Mus musculus: one gene and its partners. The protein of the gene in region 2 interacts with the protein of the main gene of each other region in a biochemical or structural test. Links are inferred from orthologs where the notes say so. Each region holds a gene or a part of one and is shown on either strand. Other genes may lie near its edges. The genes, in order: Bcar3, Erbb3, Nrg2, Tns3, Rnf41, Txk and Sh2d1a.

The links.
Region 1: the proteins of Erbb3 (region 2) and Bcar3 form a complex in vitro, tested with the Homo sapiens proteins (2 studies listed by BioGRID and IntAct, with this or other methods). The link is inferred for Mus musculus from reciprocal best matches to the Homo sapiens genes ERBB3 and BCAR3.
Region 3: the proteins of Erbb3 (region 2) and Nrg2 form a complex in vitro, tested with the Homo sapiens proteins (2 studies listed by BioGRID). The link is inferred for Mus musculus from reciprocal best matches to the Homo sapiens genes ERBB3 and NRG2.
Region 4: the proteins of Erbb3 (region 2) and Tns3 form a complex in vitro, tested with the Homo sapiens proteins (2 studies listed by BioGRID and IntAct, with this or other methods). The link is inferred for Mus musculus from reciprocal best matches to the Homo sapiens genes ERBB3 and TNS3.
Region 5: the proteins of Erbb3 (region 2) and Rnf41 form a complex in vitro, tested with the Homo sapiens proteins (2 studies listed by BioGRID). The link is inferred for Mus musculus from reciprocal best matches to the Homo sapiens genes ERBB3 and RNF41.
Region 6: the proteins of Erbb3 (region 2) and Txk form a complex in vitro, tested with the Homo sapiens proteins (2 studies listed by BioGRID and IntAct, with this or other methods). The link is inferred for Mus musculus from reciprocal best matches to the Homo sapiens genes ERBB3 and TXK.
Region 7: the proteins of Erbb3 (region 2) and Sh2d1a form a complex in vitro, tested with the Homo sapiens proteins (2 studies listed by BioGRID and IntAct, with this or other methods). The link is inferred for Mus musculus from reciprocal best matches to the Homo sapiens genes ERBB3 and SH2D1A.

What each region holds. Positions count from the first base shown.
Region 1 is NC_000069.6:122,506,757-122,510,256, forward strand, and holds part of Bcar3 (breast cancer anti-estrogen resistance protein 3 homolog), read left to right. Parts: intron 1-1,369; coding exon 1,370-1,815; intron 1,816-3,500. UniProt on the Homo sapiens protein: Acts as an adapter protein downstream of several growth factor receptors to promote cell proliferation, migration, and redistribution of actin fibers.
Region 2 is NC_000076.6:128,572,636-128,576,135, reverse strand, and holds part of Erbb3 (receptor tyrosine-protein kinase erbB-3 precursor), read left to right. Parts: intron 1-100; coding exon 101-154; intron 155-1,661; coding exon 1,662-1,797; intron 1,798-2,604; coding exon 2,605-2,724; intron 2,725-2,862; coding exon 2,863-2,961; intron 2,962-3,191; coding exon 3,192-3,377; intron 3,378-3,500. UniProt on the Homo sapiens protein: Tyrosine-protein kinase that plays an essential role as cell surface receptor for neuregulins.
Region 3 is NC_000084.6:36,016,737-36,019,391, reverse strand, and holds part of Nrg2 (pro-neuregulin-2, membrane-bound isoform), read left to right. Parts: intron 1-709; coding exon 710-1,478; 3' UTR 1,479-2,655. UniProt on the Homo sapiens protein: Direct ligand for ERBB3 and ERBB4 tyrosine kinase receptors. Concomitantly recruits ERBB1 and ERBB2 coreceptors, resulting in ligand-stimulated tyrosine phosphorylation and activation of the ERBB receptors.
Region 4 is NC_000077.6:8,490,036-8,493,535, reverse strand, and holds part of Tns3 (tensin-3), read left to right. Parts: intron 1-198; coding exon 199-1,443; intron 1,444-3,500. UniProt on the Homo sapiens protein: May act as a protein phosphatase and/or a lipid phosphatase. Involved in the dissociation of the integrin-tensin-actin complex. EGF activates TNS4 and down-regulates TNS3 which results in capping the tail of ITGB1.
Region 5 is NC_000076.6:128,410,140-128,414,415, reverse strand, and holds the start of Rnf41 (E3 ubiquitin-protein ligase NRDP1), read right to left. Parts: upstream 2,801-4,276; 5' UTR 2,591-2,800; intron 1-2,590. UniProt on the Homo sapiens protein: Acts as E3 ubiquitin-protein ligase and regulates the degradation of target proteins. Polyubiquitinates MYD88. Negatively regulates MYD88-dependent production of pro-inflammatory cytokines.
Region 6 is NC_000071.6:72,749,978-72,754,058, reverse strand, and holds the start of Txk (tyrosine-protein kinase TXK), read left to right. Parts: upstream 1-1,281; 5' UTR 1,282-1,364; coding exon 1,365-1,380; intron 1,381-4,081. UniProt on the Homo sapiens protein: Non-receptor tyrosine kinase that plays a redundant role with ITK in regulation of the adaptive immune response. Regulates the development, function and differentiation of conventional T-cells and nonconventional NKT-cells.
Region 7 is NC_000086.7:42,501,332-42,505,364, forward strand, and holds the start of Sh2d1a (SH2 domain-containing protein 1A), read left to right. Parts: upstream 1-1,233; 5' UTR 1,234-1,391; coding exon 1,392-1,528; intron 1,529-3,488; exon of another isoform or gene 3,489-3,561; coding exon of another isoform or gene 3,562-3,563; intron 3,564-3,990; exon of another isoform or gene 3,991-4,014; coding exon of another isoform or gene 4,015-4,016; intron 4,017-4,033.

The DNA of each region.
Region 1 (3,500 bases), on a different chromosome or scaffold from region 2:
GGAAGCCGGGTGCCAACACTGTCCCTTTGAAGGTTTCAGCCACTCTATAAGCAACAGCATTATCTACATCTTATGGATGATGTAACTGAACCACAAGGCACTTATGTAATTTGTCTAGTCACACAGCTGGGGCAGAATACAAACCTAGGTGGTCAGGCTCCAGCATGATGTACTGGATGGCTGGCAACATCAGCACCATAGTGGCTACCTGTGGGGCTGTCCACTGCATTACAGGCATTGTACTCCTCGTGCTTTGCCTATTTCTCATATGCAAATGGATTATCTTTACAATAACTTTGTGGGGTGAGGAAACCTCAAATGTCTTTGTATTTTTTTTTTCCTAGCCTCCTAGCTTGTCCAGAATCCACCATGCCATCCCTGGGTTCATCCTGCTCTGTAAACGGAAATCTGAGGAGGATGATTAGGGGACCCAGACCCAGATAGCCTCTTCCTCTTCCCTTTGGAAAAAAAAAATCAGACCCAATGAGCATACAACTTCATTTCGTCCGCTGTTTTACATTCTCTAAGTCTGTGTAAATGTCCTCTTCTTGGGACATCTTCCTGGCCACCCTCATTTGAACAATAACCCTTCCAAATAGCCCATCTCCCTTCCAAAGTTTTTCTTTCCTTAGCTTCACAATATTCAGACTCACCATACTTGCAGCCGTCTGTCCCGAGAGTGCTATACCAAATACACACACGCACGCGCGCACACACACACACACACACACACACACACACCACAAAGCCCCCGAGGAAGCACACTTAGTCATTGCTGTGTCTCCTGAGTCTGCAGTAGTGCTGGGCATGTAGAAGATGGTCCATAAATAGTTTGGGTGTTTTGTTTTGCATTTGAGAGGGGGATGACCTCAAATGAATTATGTATTCCAGGCTGACTTCAGACTTACAGTCCTCCTGTCTTAGTTTCCTGAGCACATTGATCACCCGTGTGCAGAGCCATACCCAGCTAGGATACAGTCCTTGAGTGTGTCATTTAACAAACAAACTAAAGACGTGACTAAAAAAAGGGAGTGATAGGAGATGGCCCGGTTGGTAAAATAGTCATCTTGCAAGGACAAGGATATGGGTTCGATCCCCAGAACCCTCATTAAAAACAAAACAAAAACAAAAATCAGGAGAGCCAGGTGTGGTAATACATGGAGTGGAGAGGCAGAGAGAGGCAGATACCTGGGTTGTGGGAGACCGATTGTGCCTAAGGAAAGACTCCTCTGGTCTCTGCACGCATGCGCACACATTCGCACACATTCGCGCACATGCGCACACAGCAGACATAGCAGCACTGCCTTCTGGAAGTTCTTGAGTGAATATGTTTGCCTTTCCTGCTCCTCATTCACCATTTTGACTACAGGTGTCTGAAAACCTTGTGCAGCGGGATGGGGACTTCCTGGTTCGCGACTCCCTGTCGAGCCCCGGAAACTTTGTCCTGACCTGTCAGTGGAAGAACCTCGCTCAGCACTTTAAGATCAACCGGACTGTCCTGCGGCTCAGCGAGGCCTACAGCCGTGTGCAGTACCAATTCGAGATGGAGAGCTTTGACTCCATCCCGGGGCTGGTCCGCTGCTACGTGGGCAACCGGCGGCCCATCTCCCAACAGAGTGGTGCCATCATCTTCCAGCCCATCAATAGGACAGTGCCCCTCTGGTGTCTGGAGGAGCGTTATGGCACCTCCCCGGGCCGAGGCCGGGAGGGCAGCCTGGCTGAGGGAAGGCCAGACGTGGTGAAGAGGCTGAGCCTCACCACAGGCAGCAGCATCCAGGCTCGGGAACACAGCCTGCCCCGAGGAAACCTCCTCAGGTAGGTCTGTGGAGTGCTGGGGCCTCGCTTAGGCGAAGGGGAGGAGAGGGTTTTAGAACACTCACCGTCAGTGGATAGTGGTCACGAGTGTGCATGATTAACCCCCACTTAAAGAGCATCAAAATCAAGTGGTGGAGCTAGATGCGGGATGCGTGTGAGTAATTTCAGTGCTTTGAGGCTAAAATGGGGCGAGTGCCCCAAGTTCAAAGCCATCCTTGACTACAAAATGAGATTCCCCATTTCTAAAACTAAAACAACAACAAAAACAACAACAGGGTCTGAGCAGGGGATATGTGGGGGACACTGCAAAGAAGAGGGGGTTCCAGGGACTTAATGTGAGACGTTCAAGGGCCAGAGGAGCCTGGAGGGTTGATTGGCCAGGCTAAAGTAGAGGGTCTGTGTAAGGGAGGGATGGGGTTAGGAGGAACCCGACCGCACCCCACCAACGCTGATGGTGGAGGCTTTCTGCCCGGCTACAAAAGTTTGGCACAGTGAACAGCAGATCCTGAAGCAGAACTGGGTAGCATTAGGCACAGAGTGGGGAGAGACGGAAGCAGGGGAGCCAGCATAGGCTTCAGCAAGGGCCCAGGCTGGAAGGGGGAGGTGGGGTCGATTTCTGAGGTCTTCAGGGTTAGAGGAAAAAGCCCACCTAGGCAGTATACTAAGGGGAGGGCAGGGACTGTGGACATGCTGTGTGTCAGCATCCAGCAGGGGTCAGTGCTGAGGCTAGGGACTGGCCCTGCGGAAAAGGATTGGCTTGGAGGGAAACAGATGGGGTTTGAAGGACTGGAAGCGTAGAGGGAGGAAACTGGACTCCTGTGCCTCCTGGGCTGAAGTGTTCAGAGAATAGACAGGCAAGGCTGAGAAGGGAGCTCAGTATTTGCATAGGACTTAGCTTCCAGAGACGAGACACCTTTTCAGGGCCAATTGCTGGGGAGGAAAGCTGAGATGTAGCCTGGACCCCTCTATTGCCCTGGCTCCCCCGGCTCCTGGTGTCTCATATAAGTAAGCGTGTCCATTCGCCTCTCTGCTTTCCTGTCTGGGCCAAGAGAAAATATAAACTATAATTTCTTTACTGCAAACGCCTTATGAAATACAGGACTATGTAAGTAACATAAACTGTAGCTGTTGCCTGGTATGTATTAGTCAGCAACTGACTCAGAACCTGTGGCTCCATGCTGGTTCCCATGTGGTTAGCTGTGCAACCCTAGGCAGACACCTTCAACCTCTCTGGGGCTCCCTTCCTTGGTCTGGAAGCATAGACGCTGTTGAGTGAGGGTGCAGGAAGTGGACCGTGTTTACTCTCACAGCAAGCGCTGGTATTCCTGGGAGCTGTTTTTCTCTGCAGGGGAGGCAAAAGTCAGACTTAGGGGCAGGCAGGGAGGCGAGGAAGGGTCTGGGAGATGCTCTTCTGATTGGCCTTTGGAATGTAGAGGCTCTGGGATAGTTTCCCACAGGAAGCGACCAACACACTTCAGGTGGGGGAAGGGCGACCTCACCATGACCAGTGTGGCCTTAATGGGCTAGTCACCCTACCCTGCTGCCCTTCAGTGACTTTCCCACGTCAGCTTTGGCCCACTGCCACCTGCTGCCTGCCTGGCAGCCTGGGGCCCTGGGCAAAGGTGTGTATTTTCAGGCACTCTGCTTCCCACCTATCTAGCCACACTGGACTCCCGGAACAATCT
Region 2 (3,500 bases):
CCTCAGGCTTGGCTGCAAGTATATTCATCTGCTAAGCCGTCTTGTTGGCCCAATCCTCTCTTGTCTACTTACTGTCTAAGAAGGTGATTTTCTTTTCTAGGTGTAAGGGACCAGAACTACAAGACTGTTTAGGCCAAGCAGAGGTATTAATGAGGTAAGATCGGCTTGGAGAATGTTGGGTTCAGGAATGTTTGGGAGAAAGGTCAGGGAAAGAACGATGTTATTTGTTCTGCCATATATATATATATATATATATATATGTTTTACCTCATTTATGTCTCTGCACTACTTGCTTGCCTGGTCCCTTTGGAGGCCAGAAGAGGGCATGAGATATCTTGGAACTGTAGTTATGAATCTATGAGCCATTATATACGTGTTGGGAATTGAACATGGGTCCTTCACAAGAACAGCCAGTGCTCTTAAGCACTGAGCCTCTCTCCAGTGGCCCACTCTGCCCTTTTAAGTTTTCATTTTTAGCCTGGTGGTGGTGGTATACACCTTTGAACTCAGTACTCGGGAGGCAGAGGCAGGCAGATCTCTGAGTTCAAGGAACAGTCAGGGCTACAAAGAGGAACCCCTGTCTTGAAAAAAAAAAAACCCAAAAAATTATTTTTTACATTTTTGTTTATTTTGTTTTTGTAACATGGTGTCTCTATATAGTCCTGCCTGGCATGAAACTTGCCGTGTATGCCAGGGTGTTTGATAACTCACAGACATCCTCCTGCTTCTGGGTCCCAAATACCAGGATTAAAGGCATGTAGCACTATGCCTACCTTTAAAAGTTATCTGTTTTACTTTATATGTATGAATAGTGCCTTAATGAATGTTTGTATGTGCACCATGTGTGCCCGTGCTCAGGGAGACCAGCAGAGGGCACTGTGTTCTCTAGGATCTAGAGTTAGGATAGTTCTGAGCCACCATGTGGGTTCAGGGAACCAAACCTGGATCCTCTTTAGGAGCTCTGAACTGCTGAACCATATCTTCAGCCCCCCACCCTCACCCCCTTACTTTAAATAATATTTGTTTTGTTTTTAAAGATTTTATTTATTATTATACATAAGTACACTGTAGTTGTCTTCCGACGTGCCAGAAGAGGGTGTCAGGTCTCATTACGGATGGTTGTGAGCTACCATGTGGTTGCTGGGATTCGAACTCAGGAGCTTTGGTAGAGCAGTCAGTGCTCTTACCCGCTGAGCCATCTCACCAGCCCTAAATAATATTTGTTATTTATTATTTGGAAATGTAATACAGTTATGTGATATCTTTTGATCATACCAATCCACCTTTATCTCCTTCCAGATTACCTTCATGCCCTTCCCCTTCCTGATTTCCTGTCCTCCTTTTCATTGTTGTTATTAATAACACCCTGGGTCTATTTAGTGTCACTGGTATGCACGGGGTATGGGACTGTCCACTGGAGCCATTCTTCCCTTTTATATATATAGTCCACCATCCCTGGACTCAAGAGTCCTGGCTTCTCGAATTCTCTTCCTAGATTAACTTAAACTGGCTTAAAAGGGGGCAAGCCCTGTATCTGGGTTGATTCCTTCAGTGCTCATGGGCATTAATAGAGATGAATGCTAACTCACATGTACACCAAATAAATGACCTTTGTGAAGCCACTGTAAACCCAGGATGCTGGCCTTTTCTGTATCCCACAGCAAACCACACCTGGTCATAGCGGTGACAGTAGGACTGACTGTGATCTTCCTGATTCTGGGAGGCTCTTTTCTCTATTGGCGTGGACGCAGGATTCAGAATAAAAGGGCTATGAGACGCTACTTGGAGCGGGGTGAGGTGAGTATTTATCTAGCTTAACTTTGGGAAGCATCCTTTACAATCTGCTCCCAGGGAAAATCGATGAACCTTGGTTCTCTTTCTCAGGAAATATGGTCCCTCTCTTTGAGGGGATGGTATAGAGCTATGGATACAGCTCAGAATGCTTGCCTAACATGTACAAGGACCCAGGTTCAGTCCTAGCAACACGAATGTACAGTGCACATATGTGTACACTCCAGTCCAAAAAGTAGGGAGATGTTCTCATCTTGTTTTTGCCTTTTGCCACAACGATGAAGAAACTACTTTCCTTCTCTGTGGCTCAGTTTATGTCTCTTAGATACAATAACATTCATCCTTCCAAGGTGATGGGTAGTGGTATGTGCAAGTTCCTTGAAAGCTTAAGCATTTTGGTCCAGGGCAGTAATTCTGGCACTCAGCCAAGGCAGAAAAGATTGCCCTGAGTTCAAGACAAGTCTGATCTACACAGCAAGTCCTCATCTTCGAGGACAGAGGGATAGAAAACCAGAATCAACCTTGCATGAAAAGTCTTCGAGATGGGGGTACCACCATATCTCCTCGATTCCCTCCTCCTACTCAAAGGGAAACCAATCCCTCTTGACCTTTCTCATCAGCACAGCTTCCTCAATCCTATAGTTCCTGAAGTGTCTGTTGTTCCTCAGTGAAATTATGAAGCTTTCCAAGACTAAGGACTTATCTTCTTACCCTAGGCTCTGAGCTCTGCTGCTCTTGGTGCAGAGGCAATAGGTGGGACTAGGCTTGTGGGAGTGGGCTTTTACAAATAACTCCTTCCTGTCCACCCCTCAGAGCATCGAGCCTCTGGACCCAAGCGAGAAGGCAAACAAAGTCTTGGCTAGAATCTTCAAAGAGACAGAGCTGAGGAAACTTAAGGTGCTTGGCTCTGGTGTCTTTGGAACTGTACACAAGGTGAGTGACTCTTGGGAAGTCTAGAGAAGTGGGAACAAGATGCCAGGGAAAATGGGAGAAAGATTTTGGCAGAACACTGTCTGAAAAGAGTGATTTTTTTTTAAACCTCCCTCCCTCCCTCCACTTCAAACTTTCCAGGGGATTTGGATTCCCGAGGGTGAATCCATCAAGATTCCAGTCTGCATTAAAGTCATCGAGGACAAGAGTGGGCGGCAGAGTTTTCAGGCTGTGACTGATGTAAGTTAAAGAAGGGACTTCATCTGTAATCTTCAGACTCCAATTAAGTGGATGCCATAATGAGAGAGGCAGTGTTGGTTTCGGGCATGTAGGCATATGATCTTGTGTTGGCAAATAGTGTGTTAGATCCATCTTAGGCATGAGTGTTAGGGGACCTCTGGATTGGGTGTGCTTTTGTGGAGTGTATGCAAACCCGTTACTTCCTGGCTAACACCTCTTATATTTTGCAGCACATGCTGGCCGTCGGCAGCCTGGACCATGCCCACATTGTACGGCTGCTGGGACTGTGCCCAGGGTCATCTCTGCAGCTTGTCACTCAGTACTTGCCTCTGGGCTCTCTCCTTGATCATGTAAGACAGCACCGTGAGACACTGGGACCACAGCTGCTGCTCAACTGGGGAGTACAAATTGCCAAGGTGAGGGGAGTCAGGGGAGGCCTTTGATAGCAACAGCTTAGCTGGGGAAGGTCGGGGTTGAGGAAGGAGGATTAAGGGTTTGAGGTCATGAGTGCTGTCTTCAAGGTGTGGCCAGCTGCTATT
Region 3 (2,655 bases), on a different chromosome or scaffold from region 2:
CTTGAGGTGCCTACCCCGTGTCACTTCCCTGTGGTAGCCTTTGGATACAAGAAGGCATGTTCCCCTCACTCAAGCCAAGCCAGGGAATAAACTGTCACTGCAAGAGCAGTGAGCTCAAATCCAGGTAGTCTCTGAATGGTGGCTAGTGGTTCCTGGAATTAAGCATACTATTCTCTGCCTAACCTGGATTCGAATCCCAGGGACAGGTACCCAGGATTCACACTGGGAGGTATTAGCAAGAAACAGGCCTTCAAGGACCTGGGGATCATCGGCTCTAAGATGAGACACCTAGTGGTGGAGGAAGGAGTTAGTTGATTCAGAAAGAATGAAACAGACCTACCACATTTTGGTCATTCAGTCCTTGGCACTTCAAGTCTGGGTCCCCTTTTTCCTATATGTAGTATAGCCCTCACCCACAGATGCTACAGAATAGATGAGACCACACATAAAACACTCCAACCTGAGCGTGCCTCGGAGACTGTGAACGTCCCTACAGTACTCCCCTAGTACATTTCTGAAATTCTCCAGCATCATACTGGAGTAAACACTACATTCATCTGTGCTTAACAGATAAGAAAAGGCTGGGAGGTTCATGGAAACTAAACGTGGTCAGAGCCACGGCTCTCACTCTTATGGACACTTTCTGGTTGGAATCTCTGGTGAACACCAGCACTGCACCCTGACTCCCGACCCTCTGTCTCTCCCACAGGTACGTGTCAGCCTTGACCACGCCCGCTCGCCTCTCGCCCGTGGACTTCCACTACTCGCTGGCCACGCAGGTGCCGACTTTCGAGATCACGTCGCCCAACTCTGCGCATGCCGTGTCGCTGCCGCCCGCCGCGCCCATCAGCTACCGCCTGGCGGAGCAGCAGCCGCTCCTGCGGCATCCAGCGCCGCCCGGCCCGGGGCCGGGGTCGGGGCCCGGAGCGGACATGCAGCGCAGCTACGACAGCTACTACTACCCTGCGGCGGGGCCCGGGCCGCGGCGCAGCGCCTGCGCGCTGGGAGGCAGCTTGGGCAGCCTGCCCGCCAGCCCCTTCCGCATCCCGGAGGACGACGAGTACGAGACCACGCAGGAGTGCGCGCCCCCGCCGCCGCCGCGGCCGCGCACGCGCGGCGCGTCCCGCAGGACGTCGGCGGGGCCGCGGCGCTGGCGGCGCTCCCGGCTCAACGGGTTGGCGGCGCAGCGCGCACGCGCGGCGCGGGACTCGCTGTCATTGAGCAGCGGTTCGGGCTGCGGCTCGGCGTCGGCCTCGGACGACGACGCGGACGACGCGGACGGGGCGCTGGCGGCCGAGAGCACGCCATTCCTCGGCCTGCGAGCGGCGCACGACGCGTTGCGCTCGGACTCGCCGCCGCTGTGCCCCGCGGCCGACAGCAGGACTTACTACTCCCTGGACAGCCACAGCACGCGCGCCAGCAGCAGACACAGCCGGGGGCCGCCCACGAGGGCCAAGCAGGACTCGGGGCCCCTCTAAGGCCCCCCGCCTCGCCCGCCCCACGTCTCCAAGGAGAGCGGAGACCACCGACTGGAGAGGGAAAAGGAGCGAACAAAGAAATAAAAATATTTTTATTTTCTATAAAAGGAAAAAAGTATAACAAAATGTTTTATTTTCATTTTAGCAAAAAAAATTGTCTTATAATACTAGCTAACGGCAAAGACGTTTTTATAGGGAAACTATTTATATGTAACATCCTGATTTACAGCTTCGGAAAAAAAAAAAGAAACAACAAAAAAAAAAATAAGAGAGATGGGCCAATTTTTTGACTCTTTAATAGAAACCTATATTGTGGTGCCTTTTGCTGTACGCTAATCTGGGGCTCCTGGAGAGCCGTCTGGGGTGCAGTGTGAGGGTGGGCGCTTGTAGGATCCCAAACTGGTGGGGGTGAGAAAGGGCAGGGAAAGAAGAGACTGTGAGGTTCTAATGGCTCTGAGGAAAGTGGACAATGAGGAAGAAAATGAAGATAAGATGTAATTGTATTTTCCCCAGTCCTGAGCAGAGAAGGCAGGGATGTTAGCCTTAGAGCTGGAATTGAGATTGGGTTATCTCCAAGGACACTGGCCTCCCCGCTACAGCAACTAGAATGGGGAAGGGTCCTCCCCAGCCCTCACAGCTGCTAAGGGAAAGAGGACAGAGAAGGCTGTCTCCCCACCAGCCCCCTGCCGAGGGAGGGGGCAGCTCTACCAGGGGCCCAACCTTCAGGGCTCCTCCTCCCTGGCGGCCTCCAGGACATCCTCTGTCCTCTGCAGCGCCTTCGTTTACAGGTCGTCTTTTCTATTTTACGCCTGCATGTCCTTTGCATTTCGGATTCTTTAGATTGAATGCATGGTCACGCTGGGACCCAGAAGAGCCACTCCGACAGTGTATTCGATTCCCCTTTTAGCAATAAAGTAACACCATGTCCTTCTCACAGCCCAGCTCCCAACCCACCTATGACTTCCATCTTCCAATCCTGCCCTCCCCAGCCAGCCCTCACAACTGGATCCAATGCTAATTTGTCAAAAAAGGCAATTGTCTAAAAAGCAAACAAAAATCCCAAACAGAAACAAATGGGAACCCTGACATGTCCGAACACCTGACTGTTGACACTTGAACATTTTTATATTATAAATAAAATCAGAAATAACTCCTGTTTGACTGTGTGTACCTAGGT
Region 4 (3,500 bases), on a different chromosome or scaffold from region 2:
ATATATGAATCCTGTTTTATTGCTGCTTTCTCTGCAGAGGATTGTGTAGAGTTTGGGGACCCGAGCTGAGACTGCACTTGCGTACTATTGAGTTGCATTATAGACCCACTCATCTGTTTAGATAAGTGCGTGCCCACTGTAGTAGGTAATACTTCCTTTTCTCCCTTGCTTACAGCCTGTCTCTTTCTTTTTCTGCAGTGCTACACACACAGGGGCCAGTGGATGGCAGCCTGTATGCCAAGGTGAGGAAGAAGAGTGCCTCAGATACTGGCATCCCTAGTAGCCCCCAGGGCATGCCAGCCACTAGCAGTCCAGACCACGGAGACCACACCCTGTCAGTCAGCAGCGACTCAGGTCATTCTACTGCCTCCGCCAGGACTGATAAGACAGAAGAGCGCCTGACCCCCGGAGCACGAAGAGGCCTGAGCCCTCAGGAGAAGGCTGAGCTGGACCAGCTGCTCAGTGGATTTGGCCTGGAAGACTCTGCAAGCTCCCACAAAGACATGACTGATATGCGCAGCAAGTACAGTGGGACACGGCATGTGGTACCAGCCCAGGTCCATGTGAATGGAGATGCTGCCCTAAAGGACCGGGAGACTGACATTCTAGATGATGAGATGCCCCATCATGATCTTCACAGTGTGGACAGCCTGGGTACTCTTTCCTCCTCTGAAGGGCCCCAGTCCACCCACCTGGGTCCTTTCACCTGTCTCAAGAGCAGCCAGAACTCTCTCCTGTCTGATGGCTTTGGCAATGGTGTTGCTGAAGATCATAATGGTGTCCTTTCTCCAGACCTGGGCCTTGGTGTAGACACCCTTTACGATCGGGAGCGGATGTGTGGGGGCCGAGAGCAAAAACCGCTGCAGCCCCTGTTGAGGAAGCCCTCTGCACCCACCCCAGTGCAGGCCTATGGGCAAAGTAACTATTCCACCCAGACTTGGGTACGTCAGCAGCAGATGGTGGCTGCTCACCAGTACAGCTTTGCCTCAGATGGGGAGGCCAGGCTTGGCAGCCGCAGCACAGTGGACAATACTGGCCTTGCCCAGCCCCCACCCCACATCCCAGTTACTCCCAACCGTGGAGCCAGCAGCAGAGTGGCTGTTCAGAGAGGCATCAGCAATGGGCCAAATCCCCCCGACACACAGCAGCTCTGTCCTGGTAAAGCTCTCCAGCCCAGATTTCAAGATGACAGAGTCACGAATGGAGTCCATCAGGAGCCGAACACTGGCTCCTCCCCAGGCTCTCCTACTCTGGATATTGATCAGTCCATTGAGCAACTCAACAGGCTGATCCTGGAGCTGGACCCCACCTTTGAGCCCATCCCCACACACCTGAATGCCCTTGGCATCTCAGCTGTGTGTCCTGACGGTGTGGGAAGTGGGCTCCGGTGTAGTGGCCGGCTGGACTCTGTGGATGGCCCTGGCCGGAGCCCTGGCCGGCAAGGTGAGCTGATGGGGTGTTGGTGTCAGGTAGGAAGTATCTATGCAGCTGGGAATTTGGATTTGCTGAAACTGATGATGGAGCGGCATTTTCTACTCTCACAAGCTGTGGCCTAGAATCCAGGTGATACTGTGGCACTATAAGAGCTTGTTAGCAGAATTGAAAGGTGGGGAGAAAGAGGTGTAAAACTTGCCTATAAAAATGGTTTGGGGCCGGGTGGGCCCCCCTGAAGATTCCTCTTCTTAGGAATCAGTGTCTTATTTCACATACTTGTCACGCTTGTTGGTAAGTGCAGTAGGTCATTTGGAAGCACCAGATAGCCTGGTCCATGTTCCTTTGCCACCTGCCAGCTGTGTGATTTAAAACCTATGTATACATCTCTGAGCCTCAGTTTCCATGCCTGAAGAATCAGCTCAACAATGAAACTTTTCTCAGTTCAAGAATGTCCCTTTAGGGAAGAGTGCCGGGCGTCTTGGTGAGTCAGAAGACCCTGCTGGGCTCTCGAGTCATTCTTGTAGAAACAGAGCAGGAGCCACCATGTGTTAGAGAGGAGCTTGGAGGGTCTTGATGACTGAGGGAGACAGGTACATGGAGCAGAAAGTGGAGAGTGTGGAGTGGCCTCAGACACAGCAGATCTGGGTTCCTGGATCCTGAAAGCTGTGATTTAGAACCAAGACCTAAGCCCAGCAAGGGTGACAGCCACTGTGTGAGGGCCGTTTGTGTACTGCACCTTCTGAAGTTGGTAAGAGTTGTCAAGAGAAAACTGTGTGGGCCTTTCTGCCTTAAAACAGGGGAACTGGACACCAGAGCAGGGGCTTCCTGGCAAGGCCAAGCTCAGTAGCCGTGGACAGTGTCCTCTGGCCAAGTCTATGGGAGTATTTCCTGCAGACTGCATCAGAGTGACGATAAAGCCTGCTTCGGGATCAGATTACTACCAGGTGTTCCTTGTGTGTGTGAACACAGGTCAAGAGGGTTTGAGAGACACCTTTGTCATTGGATGCAAAGGCAGACAGCAAGCCACAGTGTATGACGTGGGCGGAACATCCTGAGAAAAGGTCTGGGAGTTAATGGAAGGGACAAGGCTCTGGCTGGGATCTGCACAAAGTTATCCCTGGAGGGGACTGGCCAAGGTGAGGCGCCTATGTGAGGGTGATGAAGTGGCTGCAGGTGGTGGCGGGTAAGGTGGAGCTGTGGGTGGTGTTGGGAGCCCGGACCAGGAAGGCAAGAAAGACAGTGCAGGAGAAGGCTGTCCCCATCTCTTCCTTCCTCCCATGGTTGCTTTTCTGTGCTTCTCAGTGAGTCCGTGTGAAAATCCCCCTTCTTGGGTGCTAGTAATGCTGATGATAGAAGTCCCTGTGTGGGCTGACTATTGCTTTAGGGTCCTGGCAGAATGGCTTAGTTCATCTTCCAAGGCCCCTTGCTTCAGGGCCTTGCTTCACCTTGCTGTCACGTCTGTGGAGACTACTAGGTGATGACAGGGCTTGAGTTCACGTAGACCCTGTGGTATAGACCCATCCATGGTCTCTGCCCTCTTTAGAAGGTTGCAGCCTGGCTGATGTCTGGCCCCCTCCCCTTCAGGCAAGAACAAGATCTTGTAGCATGGATCCTAACCAGTGTCAGGGTTGCGTGGACTGCCAGCTAGCTGGCAGGCTGCTATCAAAGGACAGGGTTGCTGGGACTTTTGCTCATGCTAGCTGTGGAAAGGAAGGGCCATCCCAGTGTCTGGTGATGAGAGGTGAGAAGAGAAGCCAGATTACATTACCTGGGACATGCTGGGATCACTGGACTAACAGCAGGATCTTCTCGTTGGCTGGAGTGCTGGTAGGTTTGTGTTCTCCCCAATACAGTTCTGAGGAAATTCAGAGTTCTAAGGTTTCAGTGGAAACACTTAAGCAAACTCTACGACCCTTTGCTTAAGGAATGTTCTTGGAAGGCTGTACTTGGGAAGAATAAATCAAACGCCTTTCTTCCAGGAACAAAATCCCCTCCTGAGTTTTGGAAAACTTTGCATGTGTCTAGCGGTGTATGTGGGTGGACCCAGGACTCAGGCGCAGGTGCCT
Region 5 (4,276 bases), about 160 kb from region 2:
ACATATATACTTCTTTATTCAGCACATATAACTACAAGCAATGCCAAAAATCCCACATCAGTGGCTATACAGAATACAAATCCATAGCGCTTGCCCTGTACAGTCCTTTAATGTTTCTGGAGTGACTTTACTTATATGATATCATGTAAAAACTATTCTAGAGGCCAGGGAGGACAGTCCATGCCTGCATTCCCAGCACTCAGTAGGTGAAATAGGAGAATTTGAGTTCAAGGCCAGCTCAGGCTACGTAGCAAGTTCCAAACTTTGTCTCAAACAAACCCAAAACTGGCCTGGGGATGCAGCTCGGCTTACAAAGCACTGGGACTCAGTCCCTGGCTCTGTACTTGAGAGAGCATGCCTATAGTGCCAGGGCTGGAAAAAGTCAGAAGACAGTGAGAAAGCAGGGCTTTAGATCATTCCCGGCAGGGATGTAAGCCTGGAGTACTCAGATCCCCAAACATCCAGACTCTCACAAGGGAAATGTTTTCTCACACAGAGAATACTCAGTAATGTCGCTATAGGTGTAAACTGAAACACCCCTGAAGGGATAAGGCTTTAAAAAAAGACAAAGGGGTGGGGACTGAGAGAGCGGGTTTACTCATAAACAGGAAGAACGAAGGCAGGTACGGTAGCTCATGCCTGCAATCCCAACACCCAGGAGGCTGAGACAGGAAGATCACTGTGAACTCGGTCAGGAGAGGCTACCAGGCAGGACCTTTTCTCAATTGGGAAGGAGGAAGAAAGCAGAGATAGTGTTGTTCTAGGTAGGCAACTTGGTCGACCAGGAAGCAAAAAAAAACCAGGTTGACCAGGCTCATGCCTGAAAAGATGGGACTGAGGGCTATTCCAGGGCCCTGAGAATCGGAGTCAATGAGACACAGCATGACTAATTAAACTCCCCGGCTCGTTATCCTGTGTGTATCAATAGTGAAAGGGCTAAGTTAGGAGAGTACCTGATGATCTTTCATGCAGAACACAAAGGCTACTGGGTCTCCTGAATTGGGTACATGTGCTCCTAGTTCAGTGTGTCTTCTCAGTGAATGAGAGAGATGTAAAGCCCAGAATTTTTCTTCACTGTGGTCCAGAGAGGAGAGAGTTGATGTTCCTCCCCACCCCACATAACACGGGAGGAGGAATGCTTCCTTCCTTTGAACAACACTTCATTTCCCAACCATCTGGCACATGCACCTGTACCTCAGGAAAAAAAAAAAAAAAAAAAAAAAGCTTCCAGGAACAGGTACTATATTGGCTGTGCTTGGTCTCCTAGGGACAAGAAATTCCAAACACAGAAACCAAAAAGCCTCCTGTAATGGGAAAATTAACCCTTAGGAAAACAGACCAGGAGTTGTAAGACAAGCATTGAATCAGGAGAGAGGGGGAAGGAGGGTGGGCTTGGATTCCAGTCCTAGCTCTGCCATCCACTGACAGGACAGCTTCAAACAAGCCGTGTAGCCAACTGTCAAACAGATATGACACTTGCATTTTCTAACCTATTGTCCTGCAAATCAAATGAGATAAACTCTGAGTGCACGTGTAAGACTGCTGTATTACTTGTTGCAACAGAATGGCAAAATAAACTCACAGTGAGAACCAGAGGAAATGCTTGAAAATGCTTGTTCCTTCTTTTCAATCACTGGGAAGTAGGCCCTGCCACAAGGTTTACTGAAGACACTGCATAACAAATGCACCCCTCACCCTCCCTTGGCACTATCCAATCCCACTCTTTCTTGGGGGAACACTAGTAGCCACCCATCCTGCTACAGTAGTTAAAACTACTGTATAAGAAGTAGCTGCCAAGATTCTCATAGGTCAATCTCCCAAGAACAGTGGCCTTGGTAACCATCACATTTGCTACCAGTTGAAATGAAGTTTCATGAAATGAAGTTAGTGTACCAATCCAAAACACCCTCATCCTGCTTTTTCAGGTCTTTCTCCTGCCCCTACTCCCACCCCCCCTCACTCTCTACCCCACAAATGCCCTGCCTCCTGGACTGGGGTGGGCTTTCCAGTGTATTAAACGAGTGGATGGATCGTGCGTATCAGAGAGCGGGGCTGCAAATCATTCAGGGTCAAAGATGTAAGGAATGTAAGAGTCCTCCACGGAGAGGCGGGAGGGGAGAGAAGCGGCGAAGGAATAAAAGAGAAAGACAAGGCTGCCAAAGACAAGGCATGGGAAAGAAGCCAAGCTATGGCGCTTGGAGGGCGGAGGTTTGGGTTCCGCGGTCCCTGCCAAGGCTAGCCCCCAGAACGTTCCCTTCGCCTCCAGGCCTGTCAATCATTGCCATTTAAACTCCATGTTGTCCCTCAGCCCCAGCAATCAGCTCCTCCCGGGTCCTCAGGCTGGCCCAAGGCCACTCCCGCACTTCCCGAGGCTCTCCCTACTCCAGAGGATCTTCCAAAGCTCCAGAGCCCCCAGCTAGCTCACCTCCCGACTCCTCCCAGCTGAGCTCCCTTCCTCCATTTTCCTCCTCCTCTCCACCCTTCCTCCCTACCCCCAGCACTTCGGACCCAGGCACCAATCCACAGGGACCTCGCCCCCTCTCCCCCCCAACCCCCCAGGGTTAGAAGCTCGCCCAGGCGCATTACGCACCACCCGGAACGCAGCCTGGTTTCTCCGGACGCGGGGCCTGGCTGCAGCTGAGGACACGGCGGCCGCGTAGCACACTGTGTGCCCGGTCTCAGCCTTTCCCCGTAGGGGAAGGGGAAGGTAAGGATGGGGAAGAAGGTTCCGACCACTCCTCGCTGTCTCGGGTTAGCCCTTAGCCACGCCCACTGCTGCTACGCAACGGGGCGGAAGCTCGTCACCAAGCCCCGCCTCTCTATTTAACTCGGCGGCGCCTGGATGCTCCTTGCGAGCGGCCTATGAGAGGCGGGGGCTAGCTGGGCCTCCGCTCTGGGCCGGAAGTTCTTAGGACGGACAGTGTAGCCTTTTGGGAGGGAGGGCTCTATGTGCTTCAGGTGTGAAGCTCCGGGGCGACCCTGGGTGTCCCGCCTTGCAGAGTTACTTGGTGCTGGGTGGTGCACGGCTCGGGTGCCAGACCTGGTGCAGCGCTGGGACGAGGTCGCCGCGGGGCAGCTGGTCTGCAGCGTGGCCTGCTGTCCTCCCAGCCCTTCAGTTTCCAGAGCTGTGGTCAGCATCCCGGAGCCTCCCGACCTGTGACTCACAGTCATGGGGATGGATGCTGCTGTTAACTTAGGAGGCCGCAGGATGGAGAGGGAGGGAGTGTCTCACCGCAAAGCTTTGATCTAGGGTGCTGCAGGGGTCGTCCACCTCCCAGCCACACACTCTTGTAGTATTCCTGATGGCTCTTCAAAAACTCAGACCGCCCGAAACATTAATGGATTTGATTTCCTAAGGCTGCAACACTGTGGTTAGGGGAAATGGGTGGGAGAGAACCCGAGGAGAGTCGTGGTGGAGTTTAAAGCGCTCTGTGTTAGGTAAGCGGGGAAGCAAGACAAGGAATGCAATTACATTACCTCTTAGGCTAATCTGGTGTCAAATAGTATTTGTTGTAGATACTCTCTTTTTTAAAGGGCAATTCACATTAGTACATATGTAACTAGCTTATTCGTGAGAATACAGAGCTAGCTGCTTCCTTTGAAGACAATATGACGAGTACCAGAGGAAACTTAAGCTTCTAGGTGTCTCTGAGATACAATAAAATAAGGAAACAGGAATCGGATGTGCCTTTGTGAACCAAGTCAAACTTGCTTCCCTCCCCTCCCTCTCCCCTAGTCAGGGTTTCTCTTTGTTGCCCTGGCTGTCCTGGAATTCACTATGTAGGATAGGCTGGCCTTAAACTCAAGAGATCCGCCTACCTCTTGCCTCCCCAGTGTCCACCTGGCTTGAGGCTTGCTTTTTATGTTCCGGGTTCAACGTCTTTCAAAGGAGAGTGAATCTGCGTATTATCTTTCTATGGCGAAAATGCTGCTTGTCCCAGAGCCCTGAGCCGAACCGTTCGGTACATTAAAGATGATGTGTAAGCTCCTGCCATGTCCAAGGTACTGGCTTTTAACTAACTTTCCATTTTCATGTGTAAAATGGGCAGTGGTGGCGCACGCCTTTATCCCAGTACTTGGGAGGCAGAGGCAGGTGGATTTTTAAGTTGGAGGCCAGGCTGGTCTACAGAGTGAGTTCCAGGACAGCCAGGGCTACACAGAGAAACCCTGTCTCAAACTCCTTCCCTCCGCCCCCCGCAAAAAAAAAAAAAAGAATTGCCGAGAAAACAAGCAAAGAAACAGACTGGAACTAAAACGTTTTCCTGCTGCATTCCAT
Region 6 (4,081 bases), on a different chromosome or scaffold from region 2:
TTACTATTATTGCTAAGATAGGCCCCACCTATCTTCTCCTTTTATCTGGATGAGCTGTGAAAGGAACCAGGGTGTGCTCAGGAAAGTTACAAGAAGGTTGAGTTCCTGTGTGAACAATTTGAAATACTCTTTCTTATCACATGTAGGTCTCAGGGGGCAGGATACATGTGTGTATGTGTGCATATGTGCCTGTGTGCATATGGGGGCTAGAGTTGATGCTGTGTGTTTTCTTCGATTGCTTTCCACCTTGTGTAGTGAGGTAGAATCTCTCATTGAACTCAGAGCTGGCTGATTTGGCTGGTCTAGCTAGCCAGTTTGCCCTCAGGATCTCTTGTCTCCATCTCCCAAGCACTTGGTTTACTGGTGGGAGACCGTGCTCTCTTGTCAATTATGTAACTTTTCTGGCTCTGAACTTGGGTCCTTATACTTCAGTGTCAAACACTTTGCTCACTGAGCCATTTCCATAGCCCATACAAATGCTTCCTATGGGAAAACAGAACAAATGAAAGGGAGCGCTCACGCTGTAGACTTGTTCATCCAACCGAGGTGCCAATGGGAACCTGTCAAAGCTGAGGCTAAATCTTTTCTTTTCTCTGTCCCTGTCTTTCTGTCTCTCTGTCTCTGTCTGTCTGTCTGTCTGTCTCTCTGCCTCTCCTGTCTCTGTCTGTATCTCTGTCTGTCTCTCTGTCTCTGTCTTTCTCTCTGTCTGTCAAGGTTTCTCTATGTAACCCTGGCTGTCCTGGAACTCTATGTAGACCAGGCTGGCCTTGAACTCACTCGCCTCTGCCTCCCAGAGTGCTGGGATTAAAGACTTTTGCCACCACACCTAGCTTCAGCCAGTTTTTAAAACAGATCTTTAGATTCTCCCCTAATCCCAAACCAAGTCTTTAGAGTCAGTCCTAAATCAGAGGGCCAAACATCCTAGTTTGGATATTCATGATCCTAGAAGTCGATTTTCCCTGTACCACTATGAGCCCTCCAGTAAGTAAAATTTCTTCTTGTATGGTCCTTTATTCCAGTATCAGCACAGGGAAGACAGTTTAAGTTGACTACTATGAAGGCCCCTTTTACCGAAATTCTGTGATTTCTTCAAAGTGTTTTCTAGACACACCCACAGCGTAGGTATAAGGAAGTGCTAACACTTCAGATCTGGATACAGAGCTCTGAAGTTTCTTATGTAGGCCACTGGGTTGTCATTCACACACTCTTGAGGTTTTCAGAACAGGAAATTAGGTGGGGTAAACTTTGCCTGTGAGAAACGTCACAGGCCAACAACTATGCTTTCAGTTGAAAGATGTGTTACCGTGAGTGGAACAGAGCTGAAGAACCAAGGCTTCTGTGTATGGCCAGCAAGCAGGGTCGCCATGATCCTGTCCTCTTGTGAGTAAGATGGGCTTTACCATTTAATGTCACAGCGTGTTTATGGGTGTGTTGCCTACTGGTGACCCCTAGGAGTGGGTTTTGCTAAAACAAGGAATTTGTGAAATCCTAAAGATGATTTCTTCAGATGTAGTGACAGGATTTTGTGGCTTAGTTAAATGTCCACTGCCTCTTGATAAAATTATATACTTGAGAATTGAGAATACAGATGACAATAGCAAAAAAAAAAAAAGTTGTGTACTTAGCATGTGTGGAAATTCGGTCAGTGTGATGGGATATGTTTGTTTTTTGAATGATAATGAACTCAGAGTTGAGGGTGAAGAGATCAGACTTTTCTGGTTTAGCCTCAGCTTTGACAGGTTCCCATTGGCACCTCGGTTGGATGAACAAGTCTACAGTGTGAGCGCTCCCTTTCTGCCTCCTCCTATAGCCGTCACAAGTAAACAGTGGGCAAAGCTGGCAAGCACATCAACTAATCTGAGAGTTGCTTTGAAAGACTTCAAGACGATTTTTGGAAGCACTCCACAGTTAAGACTCAAGAGAGGCTAATTATGTATAGGGGTTTAGGAAAGGAAAAAAAAAAGACGATCTCTGATTTTAATTCTAGATGCCCTGGGAATCAAACATCAGTAGAACTTAGTCATTCTAGATTAGGCCAGAATTCTGATTTATTTTTAGCTGGCAGTAGGAAAAAACTGACCGAATTTTACATATCTCTTTAAGCCACAGCACGTTATTAGGACCTCCAGACATTGGTAGGATTTATAAAAATAATCAAATGCTATTTTTGTTGTGCCTTCCTGAATATGATTTACAGTTTGATTCACTAAGAACAAAACAAGACAATAACAACAACAACAGCAACAGCAACAAAAAGGTTTCTTGTTATCAGAAATAGGCCAAGCAGCTCAAGACAGAAAAAGATACAAAGAATTGTCACGAGTCCCCACCTCCCCAAGGGCAGAATAATGTTGAGCAGATGCAGAATATGGACTTTTAAAGGCTTTGATTGTTTCTCATGAGATCAGAACCAGGGGAAGGAAGGCCATGTGTTATGACAGGAAAGGCTCAGCTACGTGTAAGGCAAGTAGATGCAGAGGCTGTCTAGGGATGAAGTGGGAGACTACTTATCTATGGGGTCTTAGATTTCCCCGTGGCCTGGGGGGGGAGGAATGGTTTTAATGCAATGTCCCTGTACCATCCAGTGTCTGTCTGTCTGTCTGTCTGTCTGTGTCCTTCTGCCATGAGCCATAGCTAAACCACTCCATTTTCTTCTGCGTGAAATAATGAGTATTCGCCATTGACAAGGCACCACCAAGTGCCCTCCAGGGTGTTTTAAACTTAAGGATGCTTATTTGTATGCGCCAAACACATTGACTGTTCAAGGGGCTGCCATGGTGACCTGGAGTCACAGGCTGCTGGAAGGGAAGAGGAGGTAGTTGTATAGAGTGGGGTTTTGATCATAAAGGAATGATGGTGGCCTCTGAACAGGGTCCAAGACACTCCTCCAGTGAGGTTACATTTGTGAAGTGTTGGAATTGCCAGTGTGTTTGGCAGCTAAGTTACCGTGAGAGCAAACTCAGACATTTACTTAGATGGCAAGATCCCAGTACAGCAGCTAAGGATTAGAAATTTCTCCCTTTCACCTCTTCTTGAATGCTTTTAATCTATTGTTTGTGGAAAGAAAAACCATATAAAAATGTTTCATATATATACATATATATACACATATGTATGTATATATATGTGTATATGTATATATATGTGTGTGTGTGTGTGTGTGTGTGTGTGTGTGTGTGTAATCTTATGGTCCAGTTTGCCTGATACATGCCTGGGGGTTCTGCTTAAATGCAGGTTTCTAGGTTCATTATCATCATTTGATCTGAGGGTACAGTAAGAAACTTTGATTGCACTGTATTTCCAGGGCCTCTCCATTCCCAGAGTACTCTCATACCAGCCCTGCAAAGCTAATGGACCATTATTACTGTAATTAATATGAGGATAAGCCGGGTAGCTGGGATAGGCATCCTTTAGGCTGGCCTCTGGTGCTAACTACTTTCAGGTATGATCAACCCCTCATCCTAGGCATTGGACTCTTTACCTCTCTCAGATAGAGTATGTAAAAACAATGGGATGCCACCTCTGAGACTTGGTGCACAAAAGACGGAGCTCTTGTCTTTGCTGCGTCTGTGAACATGGAAGTGGTTTTCTAGCTCCAAGCCAGCAGGGTTTAACTGCAGCTTCAGTGAGCTCTGCTGAGCCGTTAGAGAACTTGAAGGGACGCTGGCTAGCCCAAGTATGGCAAACACAGCTCTGGCAGGCCTTGCTCTTCTTCTCCATTCCCTCTGCCTTTCTAAACAGTTAGATTACACCCTAAATAAACCCCTAAGGTCTATTCGCCTATTTTGGCCACTTCCTCCTCCTGAGGCTGGCCACCAAGGTCCAGCTATGAAAGTATTGAAGTCCAGCAATCAAAAGCCCCCTTTGACTCACCTAATTAACATGCCCAATTAAAATCAAACACCTCATTCTAACACTGGGATTCCCCTTTTACATTTATAAATGGCCATTTTCCTATTGGTCATGTCTGTCTCCTCTCTATCCAGAGGCAGTCCTTTGTGACACCCTTCTGGGACAAATACCTTTCCCCTCCCTCGATCCCTTCCCCTTCTCCCTCATCCTCTGTCTCCTCTTTGTCTCT
Region 7 (4,033 bases), on a different chromosome or scaffold from region 2:
GTTTTTAACATTGATGTAGGTAGGCATTTATGTATGAGAATAGAAGTTACAACACATTTATCAACACCTGTGCGATGATGTAAAATGGATTTTATATCCACAATGATTCTGGCCTAGCCCCATATGCCAAAGGGTATATAGAAGTTCACACAGGACACCAATGGACAGACCAAACTGGACAGAAAAAGCCCACAAACCAGCAGCTCTACAGGAAGAACTACAGACAGCTGAGTAAAATCGGAAGTAGAAGAAGTGGTCACCCGTGGGAAGAGCACACTAATTGGTCGTCTACTACCAAATGGCTATCCCTGAAAACATACATACAAATAGCACCATACAGGCACAACTGGATGTGTTTAGGAATTACACGTATATACATATATGCATGCAATAATACAATAATACAATAGCAATGTTGTTGAAGAGCAGGGAGGGATTCATGGGAGGGTTTCAAGGGTGAAAAGGGAAGGGAGAAATGCTGTGATTATATTGTGATTTTAATAATAATAAAAACAAAGAAGTACCAACAAAAGAATTTAGTCTTCTTAAGCTCCTTAGCTAGATCCATCTACACTTTTTTTTTTTTAATATGATGACAATTTTTTTCATAGTTTTGGATTTTGGACAAAACATTAAGGTAAAAATACTTGTTTTGGCCTAAGTGTATTCAAGGATTTGGCATATGGCTTCGGGATAGAAGACCTCATCTGCGAGGCCCCGAATTCCATCATCAGCATTGAAGAAAAGAAAGCTGTTTCAGGACCATCTAGTCCCAAAGTCTGTAGTTCAGTAGCCCTTGGTGATGCTGTGGAAGCCTTGCAGCCATGTTCTGCTGTGGTTTTGTAGCTTGACTGCTTTTATGCTTTTATTTTGTCAGTCTGCTTCTGCCCCTCATGATGAACACGTCCCATTCACTTCTATCACCAATTCTTTTGTTCACTCGTTAAGACAAGTCATTGTCAATGGCTTCGAAGTTTGCAGGAACTACACAAGAACAAAGGCACTAGCAAGTTTCTCATCTTTGTGCAAGCTCTGTTTGCGTTGCTGGCACAGCTCAAATACTGCAAGTGTTCACCTTTTCAGCGTGCCCCCTCCCCCACCACAAACCTTTGTTGGAGAATAGATGATCAAACCCATGACAAGTTTGAAGCTGTTAAACTGCTGAGCTGGCCTGAATTGAAGTGTGAGAAGAGGTTTTAAGGCAGGTAGACAACATCCTGTTGTTAGGGTGTTTCTCTCTCTCTCTCTCTCTCTCTCTCTCTCTCTCTCTCTCTCTCTCTCTCTCTCTCTCTCTCTCAATACTGCCCAGTAAGCCACTGCAGCGGCAACAGCAGCAGCAAAGTTTCCTTTTTACCATCCTTCTTCTGGGCCCATCAAAGAGTTTGCTAGGCATGGATGCAGTGACTGTGTACCACGGCAAAATCAGCAGGGAGACCGGGGAGAAGCTCTTACTCGCTACCGGGCTGGATGGAAGCTATCTGCTGCGAGACAGCGAGAGTGTCCCTGGCGTGTACTGCCTGTGTGTTTTGTGAGTATATCTCGTGGTAGTGGCAGGTTGTTAGCATGGGTAGCCTGCCCTTTCAGGGGAGGGCTGGGAGGAGTGGCAGGGGATGACAGCTTTTGGCAGAGGTACCTAGGGAATACAGGCAGCAGGAACTGAGTACTCTTCCAGCTCTGACGTATGGTCCCAGGGCTCAGCCCAGGGATGTGGTGGGCAGTACTTGTACGTACGTCCCTCACTGCGGATTTTATCAACTGCATTTCACCAGTGCGTTTGTGGCAGCTTCACTGAATACCCTTCAGAATGGGAAAACATGGCCTAGAACTTACCTTTACTTTGAGAAAGACCCATACTCTGGACTTCGGCTCTGATTCCAAGTAGACACCATGATGGTGGAGCCCCGGGAAGTTGGACTATTTGTATTCTGGGCCATGAAGTAAGGCAAAGGAAGGTCTTTCTCTATCATTCTCTACAAATGTGACTGAAAATGGTACCCTAAAAGAAAAGCATCTAGCAAATGCTTGAAGAAGTGGTTAGCCAGGAAATGGAATCCATTGCTTTCAGAATGCAGCCCAGGGAAGGCAGAGGTAGACAGATGTGTGTGAGTTTCAGGTGACTAGCCTGGTTTTACATGGGCCGGTTCCATGCCAGCTAGGGCTACATAGTATAAGATCCTATTAAAAAACAGTAGCCAACAACACTAAAGCAGTACAGTGCTGAAGAGGATGTGTATGCAAGAGTAGGGGCACCTTTCTGGTGCTGCTGAATTGCCTTGTTTTATAAGAGGCATAATGAGTTTTAAAACGTGCTGTGTCCCGTAAATGATAGGAGTGAGAATAGTTTTAAAGAACAGAGAGAGGGAGAAAACATCATTGTAATTATCCCACTTTGAGCTTTGCCTAGACTGGTCTCAGCCTCTTACTCCATTTTGAACCAGGTGCAGCTGCATCTTGGCTCTGTACAACCTCCCTGAGCAAATCCTACTGTAGTCAGACTCAAAAGGTTGTTATCTCACAACACCAATCTCTTAGCCATTGATTTTAAATGGGATTCATATTCTAAGGGTCAATGAAGATTAAATACCTCCATGTACAAAAAAAAAAAAGACAAATGAACACTGGGCTTGACGCTCAGCAAATGGAAGTCTGGTTTATTATTAGTCTCTTTTTGGACAAATTATTCCGGTACTCCTTGAGGCAGTCTACAGAAGGACCCAGTTCAAGCACTACTGTAAGCAGGATATATATATATATATATATACATATATATATATATATATACACACACATATACACACACATAATACACACATACATACACACACACATATATATATATATACACACACACACACACACACATATATACTGTATGCTTATACATATATCCCAGTAAAACCTCACTCTAATACAGTAGAGTCTACATGAAAGCAAAACAAAAATGCTTGGTAGTGAGTTCTGTACATGATGATACACTGCAAAAATTTGACGTACTCTCTGGGCCAGAAAATAAAGATTAAATTGAGGCTGGTGTGAGAGGATTGTCATTGTATATTGATTTTTTTAAAAAAATGTCCAAGCCTTATTTTTGTCAGTTTTTAAGATCATGCTAAATACATTTATCATAAAGGCTTCAAGGTAAATATATGGAAAAATCATTTTTCAGTGTTGGGGACAGGATCCAGAATTTTATATGTGCCTGAAAAATGCTTTTTTATTAAGCTAGATGCCCAACCCTGGGCTTGGACCTTTATGTTCCCAAGTGGAACCCTAAGAAGGGCTAGGGAAGCCAATGACAATCCTTAGTTATTTTTAACTTGTCAAAAGATGAAGGATGGTGAGTGAGACGGGCTGCTTTGGGCACACTGATAATAGAAGGAGCATGCTCCTTAACCAGAAGGTTCACATGAAGCCTATATAGGGGAGAGAGGGCTGGAGACAGTACAGCTCACACTTGAATTTTTCTTCCCACCTGGTCACCCCGGAAGGTAACTAAGCCTGCTCCCTACTCAGGATTGTCCAGTTTCTGTTCAACATTGCATCTCTTGATCATTCCCACAAATGTAAGTGCCCTCTCTGGGTTGCTATCCCATTTCTTCTATTCAAGGAACTTTAAACATGCTAATATAAGTTTGTTTACTTATATATGGGCTCTACCACGAAACTACCTTCACAAAGGAGCAAACATTGCCTCTACCAGGACTATATCCTGGTACATAATAGGCACTCAGCAAACAGTTTGGAATTCGACTAACTGTTCAGGCATATGCTCTTCACTATGAAGGGCATCTGGCTGCCAAGAAGCCAGGGTGGGGGCTCTAGGAAGTCATTCAAATTCTCTGGGGCTTCACCTTACATCCGTGTAAAATAGAAACCTGTTGTTTCCTCTGTTATAAAAGATGGCTGTAAGTGAAATCTTGAAGAGAAGGAACCTTAGTATTTTGGTATGTAGGCCGGAACCATGTAAGGAAATTCTCAGCCTTCTGGTTTTCACTCACCGGGGATGCTGTATAAATGTAAGATGCTTGTTTGT